Linked DNA regions of Astyanax mexicanus. The main gene of each other region encodes a partner of the protein of the gene in region 2 in a complex. Links are inferred from orthologs where the notes say so. Each region holds a gene or a part of one and is shown on either strand. Other genes may lie near its edges.

The links. Proteins that work in one complex are often made in the same cells at the same time.
Region 1: the proteins of lzts1 (region 2) and asb7 are in contact, whole or in part, in a crystal structure (PDB 8Y1U), measured with the Homo sapiens proteins. The link is inferred for Astyanax mexicanus from reciprocal best matches to the Homo sapiens genes LZTS1 and ASB7. Residues at the interface, in NP_001349813.1 of Homo sapiens: Arg346, Glu348, Leu349, Leu352, Met353, Glu355, Gln356, Leu358, Leu359, Glu360, Lys362, Leu363, Arg364, Ser365, Tyr366; in NP_937886.1 of Homo sapiens: Asn46, Trp48, Ala56, Ile79, Phe82, Tyr87, Met90, His91, Asp116, Trp118, Val123, His126, Tyr127, Ser147, Lys149, Thr151, Gln155, Leu156, Ile159, Arg160, Phe182, Arg185, Tyr186, Ile189, Lys190, Arg210, Leu220, Leu223.

Annotation. Positions count from the first base shown.
Region 1 is NC_064423.1:10,095,951-10,106,361, reverse strand, and holds the start of asb7 (ankyrin repeat and SOCS box protein 7), read left to right. Parts: upstream 1-6,255; 5' UTR 6,256-6,587; intron 6,588-7,354; 5' UTR 7,355-7,450; intron 7,451-8,722; 5' UTR 8,723-8,759; coding exon 8,760-8,970; intron 8,971-10,411. Other genes in the region: lins1 (protein Lines homolog 1), read right to left, coding at 624-1,208, 1,890-2,031, 2,172-2,261, 2,883-3,194. UniProt on the Homo sapiens protein: Probable substrate-recognition component of a SCF-like ECS (Elongin-Cullin-SOCS-box protein) E3 ubiquitin-protein ligase complex which mediates the ubiquitination and subsequent proteasomal degradation of target proteins.
Region 2 is NC_064419.1:33,060,109-33,070,065, forward strand, and holds the start of lzts1 (leucine zipper putative tumor suppressor 1), read left to right. Parts: upstream 1-5,065; 5' UTR 5,066-5,165; intron 5,166-9,957. UniProt on the Homo sapiens protein: Involved in the regulation of cell growth. May stabilize the active CDC2-cyclin B1 complex and thereby contribute to the regulation of the cell cycle and the prevention of uncontrolled cell proliferation. May act as a tumor suppressor.

The sequences.
Region 1 (10,411 bases), on a different chromosome or scaffold from region 2:
GTAAGATTTTGTGGGAAAACTTTGGGATAAATAAAGTGTCTGTCTGTCTGTCTGTCTGTCTGTGAGTGACTTTAGACTTGATAAAACACAGTGAATCAACACCAGCAGATGACATGTCTCTCCAAACAATCACTGATCATCAGTAAATTTTGCATTTTATTTGGAAAACAAGGGATCAGTGGAGGATGAGTGGAGAGACACAGTTCAAACTGCTTGAGGTCTAGTGTAAAGTGAAGAGACATGTCATCTGCTGGTGTTGGAAAATCTTACATCTGACAACTTTTATGGAGATGCAGATTTCATTTTTCAGCAGGACTTGGCACACTGCCCACACTGCTGCCAAAAATACCAATTGGTCTTATATAATATTCTTATTTTCTGAGACACTGATTTTTGGGTTTTCATTGGCTGTAAGCCATAATCATCATCAACAATAAAATAAATAAGTGCTTAAAATAGATCACTCTGTGTTTAATACATCTATATAATATATGAGTTTCACATTTTGAACTGAATTACTGAAATAAAGTAACTTTTTAATGATTAATGATTAATTACAGTGCTGAGAAATACTAAACTGCAGTAATATTAAGTATATATAAAAATAAACAGATTATGATTACCTTCAGTGCCAGCATGTTGTGTTCTAATCTGCAGACTCTTGATCAGGATGAGGCTAGTAGCTCTCAGCATCACTACATCTTTCCCCTCACCCTCCGGAAACTTCTGCCTGTTCCCACCCAAGAAACTGGGCTGGGGTTTGACCCACATCCGCCTAAACCAACCAGCCGCCACCTCCTGCAGAACAGCATCCGCCAACACAAGCATGTCACCAGCCAGGAACTCGTCCTCCTGCAGCGCAGAGTGACGATCACCTAAAGCCCAGTCTTCTCCAGGCCTCTGAACCACTGTCCTCTTCAGTAACAGCAGCACTCGCTTCTTCACAAAGTACCCCAGGCAGGAGTCCATCAGACGGAGCAGCACTGAGCTGTGGAGGAACATCAGTCTCTGAACTGTGGAGCAAACGCCGTACCTCGGCCTCGCAGCACAGAGAGCTTCCAGGAGGTCCATGAAAGTAGATACAGTGACATCCAGATCAGTGATGTTCTCTGCCACCTGAGAATTTTCAAAGGCGTCATGAAGGAGCATCTTGAAAAACAAGGAAGTGAGAACTTCTTCAAAACCAGCGAGAAGTTTCCTCAAAATCTCTGAGGAGAAAATGATCAAAATTTTGATTGTATTATGTAACAAAGCAGCACAAATTTCTGCCAGATTACCATATTTTTCAGACTACGGCGCACTTAAAATCCTTTAATCTTTCCAAAAATTGAGTGTGCCTTAAAAAAATTAACCAGGTGTGCCTTATGTAAGAATTTTACCAGTCAGGTTGTAAGTACAGCGATATAAGAGTGAGTTTTCAGTCAAGTTTCTCCAGCACTAAGGCTGGGTGCAGCAGCTTTAGCATTAGCCGCTAACCGCAGTGCTAGCTCTTTTATCATTCAAAGGTGAGTATATTAGATTGTAGTCTGCGTGTTAGCTTTGTTAAAACAAGCTATACAATAAATTCAAGTAATTAACCCTTAACATATTCGGCGCAGCTGTTAACTGAAAGCCATTCCAAGTGCTTCTATCTTATAAAGCTGTGCAAATTGCTGTCTAAGCAAGAAATGCCTGCTTTGAAGAAACTAAAATATAAAACATATTCTAGATACAGATAAAGCCTTCAGCCGCTCTTCTGCATCCCTGATCTAATCTTTGTTTTATCTGCAATCATGCCAAATGAGTCTTTAACAGTCAGAGCGAACTTCACACTCACTATTGTAGCTATCTTTAATATAAACTTTTGGGAAGCTGGGTCTGATTGTGTTTCTGTGAGAGCTCTATAGTACCTGGTTTGTTGGCACACTCTCCTCTTAGGATTCCTTTGATCACCTCTGTTAGTGACCACAGGCTTGTGTCCAGTGTGCATCCAGGAGGTGAAGAACCAAATGTTTCAGCACAGGCTGCTGTCCAAACAGCATCCACATCACCCTGCAAAGAACAAGAACACACTTTTATATGTCAAACCAGTGAAGACCTGTTCTGCCTTAACTGTCACAGGAAGTCATTGTAGGAAGATTTGCTTCTGGTTAAAGCTACTGCCAGGTTTTAAGTCGCAACTGACTACTTACATAGGCACAGGTGTCATCGATGACAAAGGATGAGACACACTTTGCGGTCAAATGGGATAAAAGTCTGTCCCCACAATTATAGAGAGACATCTGCAACAAACAGTCAACGGAAAATATTGGATCATAGTCATAACCCAAAACCTGCTTGATCTCACTGTTAAACTTGATGGAGGGGAGCAGTGTGGTCCAGCAGGCTATGCGCTGCCATTATGATTGGTGGTTCGAATCCCGGTCATGCAGCTTGCCATCATCAGTCCTGCTGGAAAATAAAATCCATATCTTCATACAAGTTTTCAGCAGAAGGAAGCATAAAATGCTCTCCACTCTTTCTTCAGACTCTGATCACTTGATTTCTAAATGAAATGCAAAATTTACTAATGATCAGTGATGGTTTGGAGAGACATGTCATCTGCTGGTGTTGGTCCACAGTGTTAAATCAAGTCCAAAGTCAGCGCAATAATTTCCTGGAAAAACTTACAGCACTTTATGCTTACTTCTGCTGAAAACTTGTATGGAGATATGGATTTCATTTGCCAACAGGACTTTGCCCACGCTGCCAAAAGTACCAATAATATTCTCATTTTCTGAGACACTGATTTTTGGGTTTTCATTGGCTATAAGCCATAGTCAAACAATATAAGAAATAAATGCCTAGTAAAGTCACTTTTTAATTATATTCTTTTTTTTCGTAAAACACATAGAATAACTTACAAGCTCCGACATCAGATCTGCAGATGTGAACACTTTCTTCAGGACATCTCTGTAGAAGGTTCTGGCATTCTGTGGCAAACTGTTTCCTGACAGTCCAGCAATCATTTTCCCAATGAGGGTCAGACACAGGCATGCCGAGTCCACGTCTGGACCTTCAGCGCTGAGTGGAGATTGGCTTAAAGGTTGTAAAGTGCGCTTTAGGGCTGAGAAAACTCTGCCTGCCAGCTCTTCACTAGATGTTCCAGGAATGACCCCGGCCTGGAAGATCTGGAACACAGCCTGCAGGTCTGAATAAGGATCATCCATGTCCATGTGGTACCGGTTTCAGATGCAGGCTAGGCTTACTGATCCCATGCTAGTAGTGATCTGTTAACAATAAATGTTCAATGTTTTCCATTGTTCTTTTCTGAACTATGAAATGGGTTGGATACTGTTATATATAATTGTCTGCTTGAACTATTATTGATGACATACTTAAAATCCTTTAATTTTCCCAAAAATTGCCTGTGCACCTTATAATCAAGTGCGCCTTATGTATAAATTATATCACTGAGGTATTAAGGAGCAGTAAAGCCACTCCGCTAAAGTACAGTATTATACAGGAGCCTTAGTTTAGTGCTCAAGCAGTTTTAGCATTAGCCGCTAACTGTGCTAAACGCTAGCCCTTTCGCCATTCAGAGGTGAGTATTATTATCAGCATGTAGCCTGCTGTTAACCCCAGCTAGCACTGCTGGAGCAGCATTAGCATTGGCCACTAACCGCGCTAGCTCTTTTGCCATTCAGAGGCAAATATACAGGCCTGTAGCCTGCTCCTAACCCCGGCTAGCACTGCTGGACAGCATTAGCACAAAATATTCTATTAAATAATTCTAATTAATATGCTTCCACTTGTTAAAAATAAAGTGGTCTGGTGGTTTTTTTTATGACAACATTTTCTGTTTAGCTTAGCAACAGCAGGATAACAACTGCTCATTTACACAACGTTACTTTAAAAAAAAACTGAAAGCTAACGAGAGCTCAACATTCATAACTTTTCTCTGGGATCAATAAAGTTCCTGTCTAACAGATATTTTTGTTGAAAATTCACTCGGAAAAGAAATCTCAGTACAGTATAAGTACTTTTCAACATGCTCAATGGAATTATACACTCACCAAAAACGTACACACTGTTAACATATACACAGTTATATTATGCAGTGTTTTTATACCCTACACTTTAGGGCTGCGAAGATTAGTCAACATAATCAACAATGCTGGTTCTAAAAATTCCAAATTTCAGGGTCAATTAATTGTTAATTTTTAACATCTTCGTACTACACAAAGTGCTTGGGACAGAAACACAATTAGAGAGGGTATATGACTTCCCACATACTCAATTTACACTCAGCTTGGTCCACAAAAGTGACCAAACACGACAGATTACATATTTTATCACTAAATATCAAAACATGTCACGTTTAAAGACAACTAAATCCAACATTTAGCTGTTTCTATTGTGTTAAAGGGATGAGAGAAAGCTAGCAACAGGAGCCATAGGAAGCAGGATGCAAACAAATGAACTAATCTGACTAATCGAAAAAATATGTATATATCAACATATTAATCGAAAAGCAAAACAATCATTAGTTGCAGGCCTACTGCCCTTAGAAAGCTAGATTTGCTTCTCACAGACTTTTGATGTTAAATATAAACTTCAGAAGGGCTTGGTTGGCTCAGTAAGATGTTAGGTAGATAACTATTGTATTGAGAGTTAAATCCTGCAGAAAGAATGCTACCTAATCTAGCTAGATCTCCAGAGAATGATGGTTGGAGACCAAACATCCAGGAGATCCAGGGCTTTCTAAAATGTCAACATTCCCAGTTAAACACTACCAGAATATGATGTGTGGTGAACCTCATCATCCAAGATCTTCAAGATAACCAATGCTAGCTAGAAGAAGCTTCTTCAAGCCATCTGGGCACATCTCAACAAACACACATCCAGCAGCACAGAGTCTATGAAACAGACTGAACTGAAAACACAAAGCAACAACTTTCGGCCGAATCACTTCAGTAATCCTCTGTTTAATTCGGATCTAAACCCCCAAGAGTTATACTCCACTAATCAACACTGCACTGCTCTCCTCTGATACACACGCTGAGTCTTCGAGCAGTGAAATCTGTCGCAAACCAACCATTGGTTTACGGCAGCGGGTCTGTTCCAATTGGTGAACTCGGTCCCTGTACACTCGCTCACTACTGAGTGTCCTATTTGAGGTCTGCTTTTGTTATGGGTTAAGTTTTTTTTTTCAATTAGTACTATTTGTCATGATTTGGAAAATTATTGAATTGCTAGATTATCATGATTGACTCAGTATTTTATAATAATAATAATAATAATAATAATAATAATAATAATAATTTCCATCCTGATCTGTGGAAGAGACTCAAAAAATCTCCAACTAAGCTTCTTTAATATTTACTATTTTTGCATTGTACTAAAATGGCTGAAACAGCACCCAAATGTTTCAACATTAAAATTTTTATATAATGTAATAGTCATTATGGCTTTTAGAAAAATTTGTTTTGGGGAGGTGGAGTAGGGCAATATCGGCTCTTGTAGTGTGGACTAATCTTTTGTCCTTACTGGCATTTCCAGTTGATACTTCAATTTATATAGAAGTATTTTAAACCCTAGAATCTATACTTCTACCTACAGAGTAATTAATGTGAATACGTTTTACACCTTTGGACTTAGTATTTTAAAATAATACCATAGCACCAAGTGCAAAACGAATTTACATTTCAGAAAAACAAAATTACAAAAAATAAATACATTCAAGACCTCTCAAAATAATAACTTAGTCTCTTAACATAACAACTTAGTATCTCAAAATAACAACTTAGTATCTCAACATAACTTAGTGTCTCAAAAAGGACTCAACATCTCAAAATAATGACTTAGACTCTCAACATAACACCTTAGTATCTCAAAATAGCGACTTAGTATCTCAACACAACAACTCGGTATCTCAAAAACGACTCCGCATCTCAAAATAATGACTCAGTCTCTTAACATAACAATTCACTATCTTAAAAAGGACTCAGTATCTCAAAAAATGACTTAGAAATACAGTTTAGTATCTCACAATGTATGTAATATTAAGAAAACTAATTTGTGATGGACTTTTTTAAAGTGTATTCCATATGACACAATAATGTGTCCAAACATTTGACTGGTTCTGTAAAACAGTCCTACTGCATATGACTGACAACTGCCACAGCAGATCTTTCATAGCGCTTTAGTGTCTAGTGCTCTAGTTAGGGCACAAGTGCGCTTATTGGAGCGCACGCGCTGATTTGACAGCTCAAATTCGTCTGTCCTGCGCTGTGATTGGTTAAGGGCGCCAGAGCCGGAGTCTGGAAGTGGGCAGCTACTTAGTTAGCCTGTTAGCTGCGTTTAGTGAACAGTTGCGGCTGTTTAAATGTTTTCCCGGAGCTTGTTTCTTAGGTCTGGAGGTGAGGACCTGCCCGGCAGCGTCCAGTGAGTGCCGGGGCTGCAGTTCGGGGAGTTTCGGCGAGTTGGGACAGAGTGTGACTGCGGGGTTTGGCTACAGGCTAGTGGACAGCCTGCGGCTAAAGGCTAGTTAGCTAAGTTAGCTTAGCTGGCTAACCTGCTAGCCCTGTATAGGAGTAGCAGCTTGAACCGCTGCAGCTGCTGCTGGGGTAAGTTAACGCTAGCTTGCTAGCTTTAGCTAGCATAGCCTATTTGCTTTCTGCTTGGAAATAACTGCGCTTTTTAACACTCAGAGCTTCTGTGCGCCTTTTTAACACACGTGAGAGGTTTAGTATGAAAGTAGTTATGATATTAAAGTGTAAACAAACTAATTTATAAGTTAATATGCTTGTATTTAGCTAGCTTAGCATAAGCTAGATAACAGAGCTGTGCTAACAAAGCTAGCTAGCGTTAACAGTTCATTGTTTGCTCCTGCCAGTGCCAGTTTCGTCCTGTCCAGTTATGTTAGCTAGGTTAGCTATTCAGTCAGTGAGTAAAGCTGACGCTACAGCTTTTAATGCTATTACTGTCTTTATATCTGTATTATAAAGTGTTGTAAAGATTGCTCTTTATATGGGTTAGCTGGCTGGTTTGGTGTTATATCTAAGAGTTAATAGTTTAGCACAGTTAACAGTAATGACTGTAAAAGCTAGCTAGCTAACCCAGATAACAGTAGCTAACAGCAGGCTTGTCGAATGACAAGAACAACAATAACACAGCTCTGTCTGCACCAGACTGTTTTAGCCTTTTCTCCATTTTCCTAAATACACTTCCAGCCCAACAGTCTTAAGAAAATACAGTTTAAATAACGTTGCAGTTACTAGCTAGTTATATTGGCTGTATGTAGAGGTGAAGTGAACTGTGTTGTTATTTCTGTGCTTCTTGTATTGATTAATGTGTTATTGTTCTTCTGGTCTTGGTGCTTCTTTCTCCATAGGTTTCTCTTTCTCTCCAGCTCTCAAGTTCAATGCTGGACTCAATAATGGCCACAAAATACAAAGAGGCTTCCAGGACTGCTAGACTTTAAGCAAGGGTAATCATGTCTTAATCTGGGATTTGTTTCTGTTTTTTTTTTATCTGAAAGTATATATAGCTAACGTTACTTCATATACAACAACTCAATGTACAGTACCATACCTCTTCTCATTCAGTGTGTATTATTTCTTTCTTTTTATGATGTCTTACATTGTAAATTTTATATTGAAAACTATATTAAAGCTGTAGAGTAACACAAACCAGAATATGTTTTATACTTTAGATTTTTCTAAGCAGTGCATTTATCTTTGATTTGCACACTCTTGGTATTTTAATCTCACTGTCTTCATGAGGGAAAGTCACCTATAATAGTTTTCTCGGCATCTTGAAGGAGTTCCTAGAGGTGCTCAATAATATAGTTAATTTAATGCTTTTCATTCCTAATCACCCATCTCAGTTGGGTTTAGGTCAGGGGATTGTATTTACTATGTAATTTCATATGTGCCCTTTAATTGTTTTCATGTCTGTAGTATTAATCTACAACATAGAAAACAATTAAAGAAAGAAAAACAATAAATGGGAAGGTGTGTCCAAACTTTTAACTGGTACTGTATGCACTAAGCTTTAGGTGATGTTTTAAGCATAAATTAGGATCATTTTAAAGCATGATTAAGTTAATATCAACACACATTTATTCGGCATTATTAACACTAGAGCTGGGTGATACAGAAAAAAAAATATATATTATTTATTCTTTTTATATGTCCTTTAGTATTTTGGGGTACTATTTTAATTATAATGTTTAATAGTTTTATTTAATAGTTATTAAATTATTAAATTATCAGCAGCATATTGTGCATAATAGACATTTGTTTTTGTTTAAATTAGGGATAATATACAGTAAGTATACACCAAGCAGTTTTGGGGTTTGGCTAAATAAATAAAGAGAACAAATTATAAGGAAAAGCTCGTAGTCACTGCAATATATATATATATATATATATATATATATATATATATATATATATATATATATATATATATATATATATATATATATATTTATTATTATTATTATTATTTTTTTTTTTTTTCTCTTTTCTCCCCAGTTTTGGTTTTGTCTAAAAATTGTCATGTTGGTGTATCCTTATTTTAAATACAGTTAATGTGTTTACATCATGCAACATGCCCTTTTCATTAATGTTCCTCACTCTAAATCACAGAGCTTGCATACTAGTGTTTCAATGATTATAAAATAATAAATAATGGGTAAAAAAAAATTATTTAAATTTAAAACCTTGACCATTCCATATCATCTCTCTGTTAACAGGCACATGAGAGGCTGAAGATCTGCGAGATGTGACAGGATGCTGAACCATCACTGCAGAAGGAACCCGGAGCTACAGGAGGAGCTGCAGATCCAGGCAGCGGTGGCAGCTGGCGATGTCTACACCGTACGCAAGATGCTGGAGCAGGGCTACTCGCCCAAGATCAGAGACGCCAACGGCTGGACCCTGCTCCACTTCTCCGCCGCTAAGGGCAAGGAACGCTGCGTCCGTGTTTTTCTCGAGCATGGAGGTACGAGGCTTGATATTTCCTTTACAGAAACATTTACCTTAATGATTCATATTGTCACTGTCCAATGAAAAACGTGTGTTTTCAAAACAGCAACTATACAGGAGAGAGAAAAACTATTTCATTTTATTTTAGGTCATTAAAAAAAAAAATATGATCTGTTCATCAGGAAATGTTGGCACAGTGTAAGTTTGTTCAAATTATGCAGTAAACTAAAAATCATCAAAAAATAGAGATGCATGTTATTCATTGGAACAGCAACAACAAATAATTGGACATATTACACATGGCCAACTTGACAGCTTGAATTATGTAGGTCCTACAGTTTCAGTGTTGTACAGATGAGCTCTCAAAATTATCACAGCAATGGTCTCAAATTATCACAGCAAATCTTACAAATTTCACCATTTTATCCAGACCTACTATACATAATATCATGTAATAATGGAATAATTGTCATTTTCAGCTAATAATGATTATAATTAGAACTGTGTCAAGCTAATATCTTATGATGTTTTTGCATCAGTCTGTTAAAACTGACATTAAGGAAGCGTGATGACAGTGAATAAAGCCATCAGGAGTGGTAGCAGAAGGGAGGACAGATTTGTTTTCTGGTAGAAGACTGAGCATCCAAAATAGAACTGCTTGCTTCAGTCACACTGCACAGTCACTTTTCTCTGCTGGAGGCTCTAACAAAAAGAGAGTCGGCAAGTCTGACAGTTGGTCTCTGGGACTTTCAGCCAGGTGGAACCTGTTCCTGTGAACACTTTGCATGGTGCTCATGGACCAGGTCACATTAGAACAGATGCAGCGAAAAACATATATAGTTAAAAGGAACACAAATTTCTCCTTCTGAAGAAACTGGTTGAGATCATATGAGCTAGTCTATACAAGCTATGGATGTGATGATATAACTACTGAATAATTAATACTACATGTATCAATACTGCCACTACTTTCTGTATGAATGTTGCTTGTATTTATTTTAATATTAGTGTTTTAATAGTAAGTAAACAGTCACTGGCCAGAGCTGTAGGGAGCAGGAAGCTTGTTCTTTGTCATTTCAAAGGTGCCTGATGTTTATGCACAGCATCACAAAGACACAAAAAAAGATGTGAAAGGATAAAAATCATGTTTTGACAAATATTGAAACCAACAATGAAAAATAATAAAGCATAGAAGCAAATCTACCACAAGAAAAACACAAAAAGAAACACAACTGTAAAGGAAACTGTGAACTTAACAACTAAATATGCCAGATCAGGTGCTCTTCTTCTATAATTACTTTGGTTCAGGTCATACTTCACGAAAAACCCCCTTAACTAATAAAACAGGAGGAGATGTTTCATTGTGGGTGAACAATGTTGACCCTGTTTGCACCGGGTCACATCATGGATCTGACTATTAGCTGGATCTTATCCATGAAGATTGTATCTTCATGCAT
Region 2 (9,957 bases):
AAAGATATAGTGATCTTTTTTTAGAGAAAGTGAGAAAGAGAGAAAAAGAGAGCAAGAAAGAGGAGAATTGAAGGTGTTCAGAAAAAGGTGACGCCCCTCCAAACACACACAGACACACACACATACACACCATCTGGACATAAACACACACTCTCTGATTGATAGTGCGCTTTGTTTAAAAAGCCAGGTGTTACAGATTTATTACCAGACCCAGGTATAACTTTGTAAACAGTACATACACACATACACTCACACATACACACTCTCACACACATACACTCACACATACACACTCTCTCACACACACAGACACACAAAGAACGCAACATTTTCAGTTCTGTCTGGGCTTGTCTTTGTTTCATAATTGATCAAAGGCTACAGTGGTGTTGTAACAGAGCGTACCTGTTTGACTTTACAGGTTTCTGCCTGAACAACCCCACCACACACGCACACACCCACACACCCCATTCTGCCACTCGGAGCTAACACTCTCACACACCTCACCTCATCATCTGTGACATGTACAGCTGTAATGATTTCAGTATGTATTAAAAATAGTTTTTTTGTTTGAGGTAAATATGAAACTGAACAGCCTATACAGGGCTCTGTCTTATTTACCGTCTTTCATTGAAACAGACCACTGTCAAAAAGGTGTTGGGGTACAGCCAATCAGAGTAAAGTGGGCAGGGGTTGGCGTGTGGCTTATTTTATAGAGGGCAACCAGGAGTAGTAAATATTTATACTAATACTAATAAGAATTGTTTGTTTTGTTTTGTTTTGTTTTCTCTTGGGCTCCCTCTACAGTTGTGGAGTGTAATTCACTTTTACTCCACCGCAGTAAATTCTAATTGTAATTTGTAAGAGTTCAAAATCAGAAATAGATCACAAGGCAAAAATCCTAGTCAAGGACAGGCAAGGATTAAATAAAAAAACAGGAATAACAAACACTTTAGAAAACTACTTAATAAGGCACTGGTGTGGCATTATCTCTTAACTAAACTAAGCAAGAGTCCCAGTATATATAGTCCATGTAATAATGGGCGGAGTCAGCTAATTAGTACTTAGTTACAGAGAGAGAAAACATGTGCATCGCCACCATAGATGGTTCCATAGTGCAGTTCCAGCATTAGAATTTTGATCAGGAATGACAAAGGCACTATTACATATTATTATGTATCAGTGAAGCATCATTATGATTCTAAAACTGCTATTTTGTGAAAAAGTTCATACAGAATGTTGCTTATGGTGCCAATAACTCTGTGATTATGCTGCATCTGTTGCTAGCATCTCTCTCTCTCTCACCTTTAACCTGCGCTGACTTTTAAATAAAACTCATCCATCTGCATTTATCATTTATTCATCTGACCTGCAGATTCAGAATAGCCAACCTGAATAACAGAGAGAGAGAGAGAGAGGGAAAAAGCAGGAAAGAAAAGAAGGCAAAAATATAGAGCTTATAATTTATTCATTTTAATATTTTCTGAGATTTTTATGAAGTGAACTGTAAGAACTGTCAGTTCAAGTAAGAGAAATGACAATATGCTGGTATTACCATCCTTACTGTACCTTCACAATATGGTCAAAAATACTGGGACACCTGCACATTCATGTTTTTTTCTGAAATCAAAGTTTTCATGGAAGGTTTTGTACCAGATTTTGGAGCATTGCTGTAAAAATTTAGAGATTTAAAACAGTAGAGACATGGTGGAGACATAGTTGTTGATTTTGTAGAATGACACTCCTCTGTCAGGCAGTCTGATGGACGAGTCTGGGTTAAGCGGTTGCCAAAAGAATTTTGGCAGAGGGGCGGCACCAGGAGGCCGGCAATGCAGAGTCTATGTATATATATGTTCATGTTATTATCAGTACAGTGATGTTGGCGCATGAAGCTGAAGCTAACGTTGTAGTAAAAATATATAGTAAATATATAAAGTAAATAGTGTTTTTTAATAAGCTTCTTGTGCACTTTTTAAGTTATTAATGCCTCATTTTAAATATCAGGGCTCTCTAGATTCTAGCAAGGAGATGTAGAGCTACTTTTAGTCTGGTGGAAAAAGCGATTTATTGGGGCAAATTATGCCCGGTGTCACCCAGTCTGAAGGGTGTTTGGACAAACTGTTAAAATTTCTGTGTCTCGGAACGTGGTGGGAGAACAGAGGTGTGCTATTCCTCACAGGTAAGTACTTTTTTATCATGTTTTACTAAACCAAAAGTCCATTTTACACCAGAGTCCTCCTTTAATGAGTTCCAATGAAAGACTCTCAATGCTTTAAAAAGAATTATAGCAAACAGTGTGATCCAGGCTTCTCGCCCAACATCAGTGTCTGACCTCACAAATGCGCTTCTGAAAGAATGGTCAGAAATGCACATAAACACACTACTAAACCTTGTGGAAAGCCTTCCCATTAAAGTTAAAGTTTTTATAGTTGCAACAGGTGGGCAGACATCAAATTAAGTTTAAAGTTTCCGTGGAAGACTTTGTACCAGATTTTGGCGCATTGCTGTGAGGATTTGATTGCATTCAGCTCCACAAGCATTAGTGAGGTGAGAGTTTTGGATGTTCCTCACCTTAACTGATCCAACCTCAACTTCCCAATTTATCCCAAAAGTTTTGTGTGGATCACTTGAGCTCCACAGATCAATGATAAAAGTGCATTATACCCATTTAACATATGCCTGGTATTAAGCAAATGGTGCCAAATTAGTCATGATGCCTTGAACCAGTGCAACACACACTAACACACCACCATCATGTCAGAATTACGGAGGTGCTGTAAATGACCCAACACCCAAATAATCTAATAATGGTGGACCAGCAAGGTTGGAGTATCTACTAGAGTGGAAAGTTAGGGTTAACCATGTTTAAAACCTCCAGCAGCACTGCTACCACCACCATGTTAGTATAGTCAATGCAGTACTGAGAATGGGAGACCCATTACCCAAATAATAGCTTCTCTGTGGCTCTGTGGTGGTCCTGTTGGGTCCTGACCATTGAGGAATTGGGTGAAAAAAGGAAAACATAAGCAATACAGTCTGTAAATATACATAGAACTACATAGTGCTCCTACATGGTCAAGGAAGTTGATAAGAAAATGGCCTAAAAATGTAGACCAGCTAAGACCTTCTGAAACCAGTTATCAGCAGAATCTAATGCTGAGCTGGAGTTTTCCCTCCCAGTAGAGTCTGGCTGCAGATCTCCTCTGTGAGGCATATGTCTGACTAACGACCCCAAACCCAGCAGCAGACGAGTAATGAAAGTGAACTTAGACTGAACTGGACTGTGTGAGACGTCACATTACACCAAGCTGACTTATCCATCCTTGCCCAAGGACATGGCTGGTTGGAAAGAACACAGTGTGAAGCAGATCTATCTGGAGGTCAGAGTGGTAACGGATGACACTGTGTGCCCAGGCCGGAATGGCCCCATTATCCACCACCCCTGGGAAGCTGAGGTATCATCTCACTTTACTGTCAATACACTGTCGCAAAGAAGACAGGTGACTCCAAGGGCAAGACATGACTTTTAATCACTTCTGGAGAGAAGAAGATACCTGAAGAACTGTGAACATTTATGAGTTGATTAGAAACAAAAAGTTGATTTTAAACTTTTAATAGGAGTGACTATCATTTACTTTATATTGATATCTAATAAAATACATTATATTCCAATCTCTTCCATGGCCAGCGTGGGACTATAATAGTGTCAGTCCTGACAATGTCAGTCTGCATCCTCTGGACTCTGAACTTAACAACAAAGACTCCAATTCCCTGCATGCACTCGGACTCACCTGGCTTTCCTGACTATGCTGATCACGTGTTGCTACGGAGTTCCTTCTCCCCGAGCTTCTGATTTTTCACACCTGCCTGTCTTAGGAATATATATACCACCCTGTTTCTGTATTCATTGTAGTTTTTCAGTGAAACCAAGCATTTATTTTTTCATTCTATATTGTTACTGACCCAGTTTTCTTTTTCTTTTTTTTATTCTTTTCTCTTGCCCTTTCCATTTTTTTTTTTACCATTGCCAAACCTATTTATGTAGTTCAGACTACTCTTTTTGTCTAGCCCTTTATCTGTTTGGATTACCCCATGTATGATTGCTGCCATTTTGTTATTGACCCTGCCTGTCTCTGGCTACCCCCATAAGTCTAACCCTATAAGTCTAATATAAGTTAATAAATTGACTGATTGGTATCTGTGAGTGTCTGTTGTTACAGGTAGGATGCATGAAATATATATTGGGAAATATCTTTACTATTAAAAATTCTACAGGTAACTGTCAGTGCTTTTATTAGTGCATCTCAGCCAGAAAGTGGTAGACCATGTACATTTTGCACCAGGAATGGCATAAAGTTGTCTAAAAGCAGTATGTGAGACTGGTGGAGGAAAACATGCCAAGATGCATGAAAACTGTGATTAAAAACCAGGGTTATTCCACCAAATATTGATTTCTGAACTCTTAAAACTTTATGATGATAAACTTGTTTTCTTTGCACAATTTGAAGTCTGAAAGCTCTGCTTTTTTGTTACTTCAGCCATTTCTCATTTTCTGCAAATAAATGCTCTAAATAACAATATTTTTCTTTGGAATTTGGGAGAATTGTTGTCCTTAGTTTATAGAATAAAACAACAATGTTCATTTTACTCAAACATACACCTATAAATAGCAAAATCAGAGAAACTGATTCAGAAACTGATTTTTGTCAACAGCTGTAAATATATATAGATGATCATAAAACTGTGGACAGTCTAAACAAAATAAAATAAACATTTTAGACAAAAAATGTTCTAAAAACACTGAAATAACCTGTGAGCTATCACAAAACGTTTTGTATAAAACATGCTGCAAAATATTAGAGAATGAAACACATTTTTATTTTTTATTTTAAAGGTCTCGTTTATATACTAAAAACCTTCAAAAGACAAGAGAGAGGTAAATAGAGGGAAGAGAGCTGGAGAACATTAAGCAGAAGGGAGGAGGGCTGTGTGATAAAGGAGGTGAAAGAGAGAGGTAGAGTGAGAGAGTAAAGTGGGGCGAGAGAGAGAGAAAGAGAGAGAGGGAGAGGAGGAGTGTTTGTTCTACAGCTCGACTCACCTGAGGAGGACAGCCTCGCTGAGACGGAGTGCTCTTACACAGGATTCACTCAGGAACACTACAGCCTCAGGTAAGAACTCCAATATTCACTCTATTCTCCAGCTGTGCTGACTGTGCTGTAGTAACCCTATTAATTCTTTCATTACTTTAATAGATAAGGATATTTATGGAAGGTCAAATACATTATAGCAGTCTCTACTACACTGTGGAGTCTATAGCTATACAGCTGAATACAGATGTTTGGGCACAGCTGTATTTATTTTAAATGCTGTAAATGCTATTATAAATCATCATTCTTGGCAAAAGCACATTTCTGAATGTTTTAATAAATTTTTAATGAGTATTTACTGAATTTAACAGATAACATACAAATATTTTAAAAAATCAAAAAGTAGGATCACTTTTTGTAAAGTGTAAATAAATATAAATAAAATTAGGATCCAATCAGCCAACATTCTTCTTTGGTCGACCGAATAGCTTGGGCCTGTTCTGCGTGAAAACTGTCCTGTTAAACCACTTCATGGTCTTGGCCAAAGTGCTGTTTCTCATTTTTAGGGTGTTAGCAATGTTTTTTATAGCCTAGGCCATCTTTAGGTAGAGCAACAATTATTTTTTTCAGATCCTCAGAGAGTTCTTTGCCATGAGGTGCCATGTTAAACTTCTACAGCTTACACAAGCTTTATACTCACTACTTTACATTGTATTTAAGTGTCATATCTTTAGTGTTGTCCCATAAAAAAGATGTAATACAATATTTATGAAAATGTGAGGGGTATACTCACTTTTGTGAGAAATTGTTTTAGATGTTGAAAGTGAGACATTTTACCATTTCATTAAAAATATATACTCATTTAGAAACTTGATTAAAGCAGTGAATCAAAAAAATGGAATAGTAAGTGGTACCAATAAAAAGAGCTGCATTAAGACAGCAACTAGCTTTTTCACTGGGTATAAAAAAGAGCAAAAAGTGGCAGAGTCTCTCAGAAGCAAAGATGGGCAGAGGTTCACTAATCTGTAAAAAAAAAATTTCTAAATTGTGGGGCAAAAAAAAAATACTCAGAGTAAAATTTTGTCATATACAGTACATAATACCTTCAAAAGATTAAGAAAAAAATGGATAAATTCCTGTGCAGAAGAAACAAGGCAGACAGTCAATACTAGATGCTGGTGATCTTCGGACCCTCAGGTGGTACTGCATTAACAACAGCTATGATCTTGTATTAGAAACCAATGGATGGGCACTTTCAGAGTGTTCGCCTTGTAATCCACAGATGTAAGTTTAAGATGTTTTATACTAAAAGTAATCATGTGTCAATATGGCCCAGAAATTCCGCTGTTTTCTCTAAGCCAAAGCGCATTTAAAAAGCAAAAATCTGTGCTGTGGTCCCAAAAATGGTTTTATAATTGTATTTTATGTTGCATATGATAGCTAAATGCAGAGTCATTTTAATTTAGTCTGTAACATACATAAGATTAGATTAGATCAGATAATCTTAGATTTCAAAAGATTCAATTGTGATTACTCTAGAGATTAATTGTGATTAATCTAATTAGCACAGTCCTCCAGTATCTGAGACTTTTAGTAAGCATGTTTGAGTACCGACAGTAAGGAACACAGCTGCTACAAACGCTTTCTGCTCTTTTGTGAGTAATTATAGCTGCTGTTGAGTAATGAAGTCAGTAAATCTGCGACCAAAGCAGAGTTTCATGGATTGTGGGTAAATAGCACGCCCACATTACAGCCATTTATGAGTTCAGTACATGTTCTCTGCATCACAGCCAGACCTGTGTAATAAAGCAGGTGCTTAGGTTTCATCAGCGTGTCTTGCCCTGTCTCCCAGAATCCTCTTCAGCTCTACAGGAACGTTAGTACTGCAGCATACGGTTAGCATTAAGGAGAGGGGGACGTGCTGAAACCTGTACAGAGACGTGTGGGAGAGACCAGGGCTTTAGTAAGACTCTTCTACATGGGCGTAGTTTCGGTTTCAGAAGTGTGAGTGCGGAGTTGGGTGGGAATAAGACTGGGAGTTCATGGAAACACATGATAAAATGTAGAAATTATTTTTGCATATGGGCAATCGGGAAATGTTACCACATTCAAAAAATGATGAGGAAATATGAAGATATGCCCCAAATTGAAAAAAAGGTTGGCAAATATCACTTAAAAAAAATAAACAAACTTTTATCACAGTTAAAATATTTTCACATGGAAATAATATGGTGAAGTGTAATCACATGAAAAATTGTGGAGAAATGCCATCAAATGACAAATCTGAAAACTTGTTATCATATGTAGGGAAATTCATGCAACATGTTATCACATGAAAAATAAAAAATGTTTCAAAAATATGGGGAACAACTGGCAAAATGCCATCACAAAGAAAGTGTGAGGAAATATTACCATGTGGAAAAAAGTGGGAAAATGTCATCACATACAAATGTGAGGAAATTTAATAATGTGGAAAAAAGTGGGAAAATGCCATCACATGGAAAATGAGAAAAAAAATTATTGTGTGGAAAAAGTAGGAAAATGCCATTACATGAAAAATATGAAGAAATGTTATTGTGTGAAAAAAATGGAAAAATGCCATCACATAAAAATGTGAGGAAATGTTATCATGTGAAAAAAGTGGGAAAAAAGCCATCACATAGAAAATGTGAGGAAATGTTATAATGTGGAAAAAAAGTAGGAAAATGCTATCACATGGAAAATGTGAAAAAATGTTTGTGCGTGAAAAAAAAATGTGGGAAAATGCCATCACATGGAAAATATGATAAAGATGTTATCATAAGGGGAAATTGGATCACATGGAAATTTATGGGACATAATATTACACAGAAAATGTGAACAAATGTTGATACATCAACATTTTCAAAAATATTACTGTTTACTGCTTATTATATTATTAAAGGTTATCACATGAAATGTGGGGGAAATGGTATCAACTGCAATTGTGGGAGGATGTGATTATATGTGAAAAAGTAATGGCAAATGTTATCATATTTTTTTTAAGAAAAAATCATAATATGGAAAATTTTAATATGGACATTTTAATGTTGAAAATTATGAATTTCAAATAATATGGTAACATGATATCACATGTAAATGTATGTGACAGTTCCATCAAATAACAAATGTGGCAAGATGGAAAATGTTATCACGCTGGGAAAATCTGGAAAATGTTATCATGTTATCATTTATCACCTAAAAACACAAATGTGATAGTGGGAAAACATGCTGTTAAGTGTAATAATGATAGAACTGTATTTAAAAAAAAGTGAAAATTGTTCTTGTAAAATATCATAAGTGGGAAAACATAAAAAAGAAAATTATTAAAAATCACATTATGAACACATATACTTTCATGTCATTTAGTTGTGTGCATTGGCGTGGTGATAACATCCAACAAAAAAGCTGGTGATGATCTAAGATGTATAGGAGCTTGGGCAGTCGTGTATTATTAAAGCAGCTGATGGTTTTGTAAGGTTGCGGAGGCTCCAGGTTGAGGCTCTCTTGATGCTCCAGCCCTGAATTGTTTCGTGTTCCGCTGGTTTGTAAGCATCAGCGAACCTGAGGGCTGGAAATAGAGCTAAATCCTGAAATAACTGGCTGTTGTGTGACGCTCACGAGCCTCTGAGGAACCATTCTCTGCAGGAAAGTAGGTTATGGAGTCTTTGACTCACTTCTCCACACACTCCACCTCCCTCTGGAGAACCCTGTGCATGAGACACTTTTCACCAGTAACTCTGCACTTAAAAGGTGTGATCAGTGATCAGCAAGACCAGTTCAGGTTCATCACAATCTGTTGTGAGGTCAGATGCTGTAATGTTCAAAGAAAATTGGATGTCTGAAGAGTAACCAGTGATATTAACAGCTCTGGAAAAAAATAAGAGACCACTTCAGTTTTCTGAATCAGTTTCTCTGATTTTGCTATTTATAGGTATATGTTTGATTAAAATGAACATTTTCGTTTTATTCTATAAACTACGGACAACATTTCTCCCAAATTCCAAATATAAATATTGTCCTTTAGAGCATTTATTTGTGGAAAATGAGAAATGGCTGAAATAACAAAAAAGATGCAGAGCTTTCAGACCTCAAATAACGCAAAGAAAACAAGTTCAAATTTATAAAGTTTTAGAAATCAATGTTTAGTGGGTTTTTAATCTTAGCTCTACTCTAACACTAGTGTTAGCTTTGTAGCTTTAATGTTAGCTCTACTGTGAGCTCTACTCCAGCATTAGTGTTAACTCTGTAGCTTTAATGTTAGCACTACTCTTAGCTCTACTCTAACACTAGTGTTGGCTCTGTAGCCTTAATGTTAGCACTACTCTTAGCTCTACTCTAACACTAGTGTTGGCTCTGTAGCCTTAATGTTAGCTCTTTAATGTTAGCATTACTCTTAGCTCTGCTCTAACACTAGTGTTACCTTTGTAGCTTTAATGTTAGCACTAATGTTAGCTCTACTCTAACACTAGTATCGGCTCTGTAGCTTTAATGTTAGCTCTTTAATGTTAGCTCTTTAATGTTAGCTTAACTGTTAGCTCTACATTAGCAATAGTGTTAGCCCTGTAGCTTTAATGTTAGCTGTTCAATGTTAGCACTACTCTTAACTCTACTCTAACACTAGTGTTAGCTCTGTAGCCTTAATGTTAGCTCTTTAATGTTAGCACTACTCTTAGCTCTACTCTAACACTAGTGTTAGCTTTGTAGCTTTAATGTTAGCACTAATGTTAGCTCTACTCTAACACTAGTATTGGCTCTGTAGCTTTAATGTTAGCTCTTTAATGTTAGCGTAACTGTTAGCTCTATACTAGCATTAGTGTTAGCCCTGTAGCTTTAATGTTAGCTCTGGTTTTAG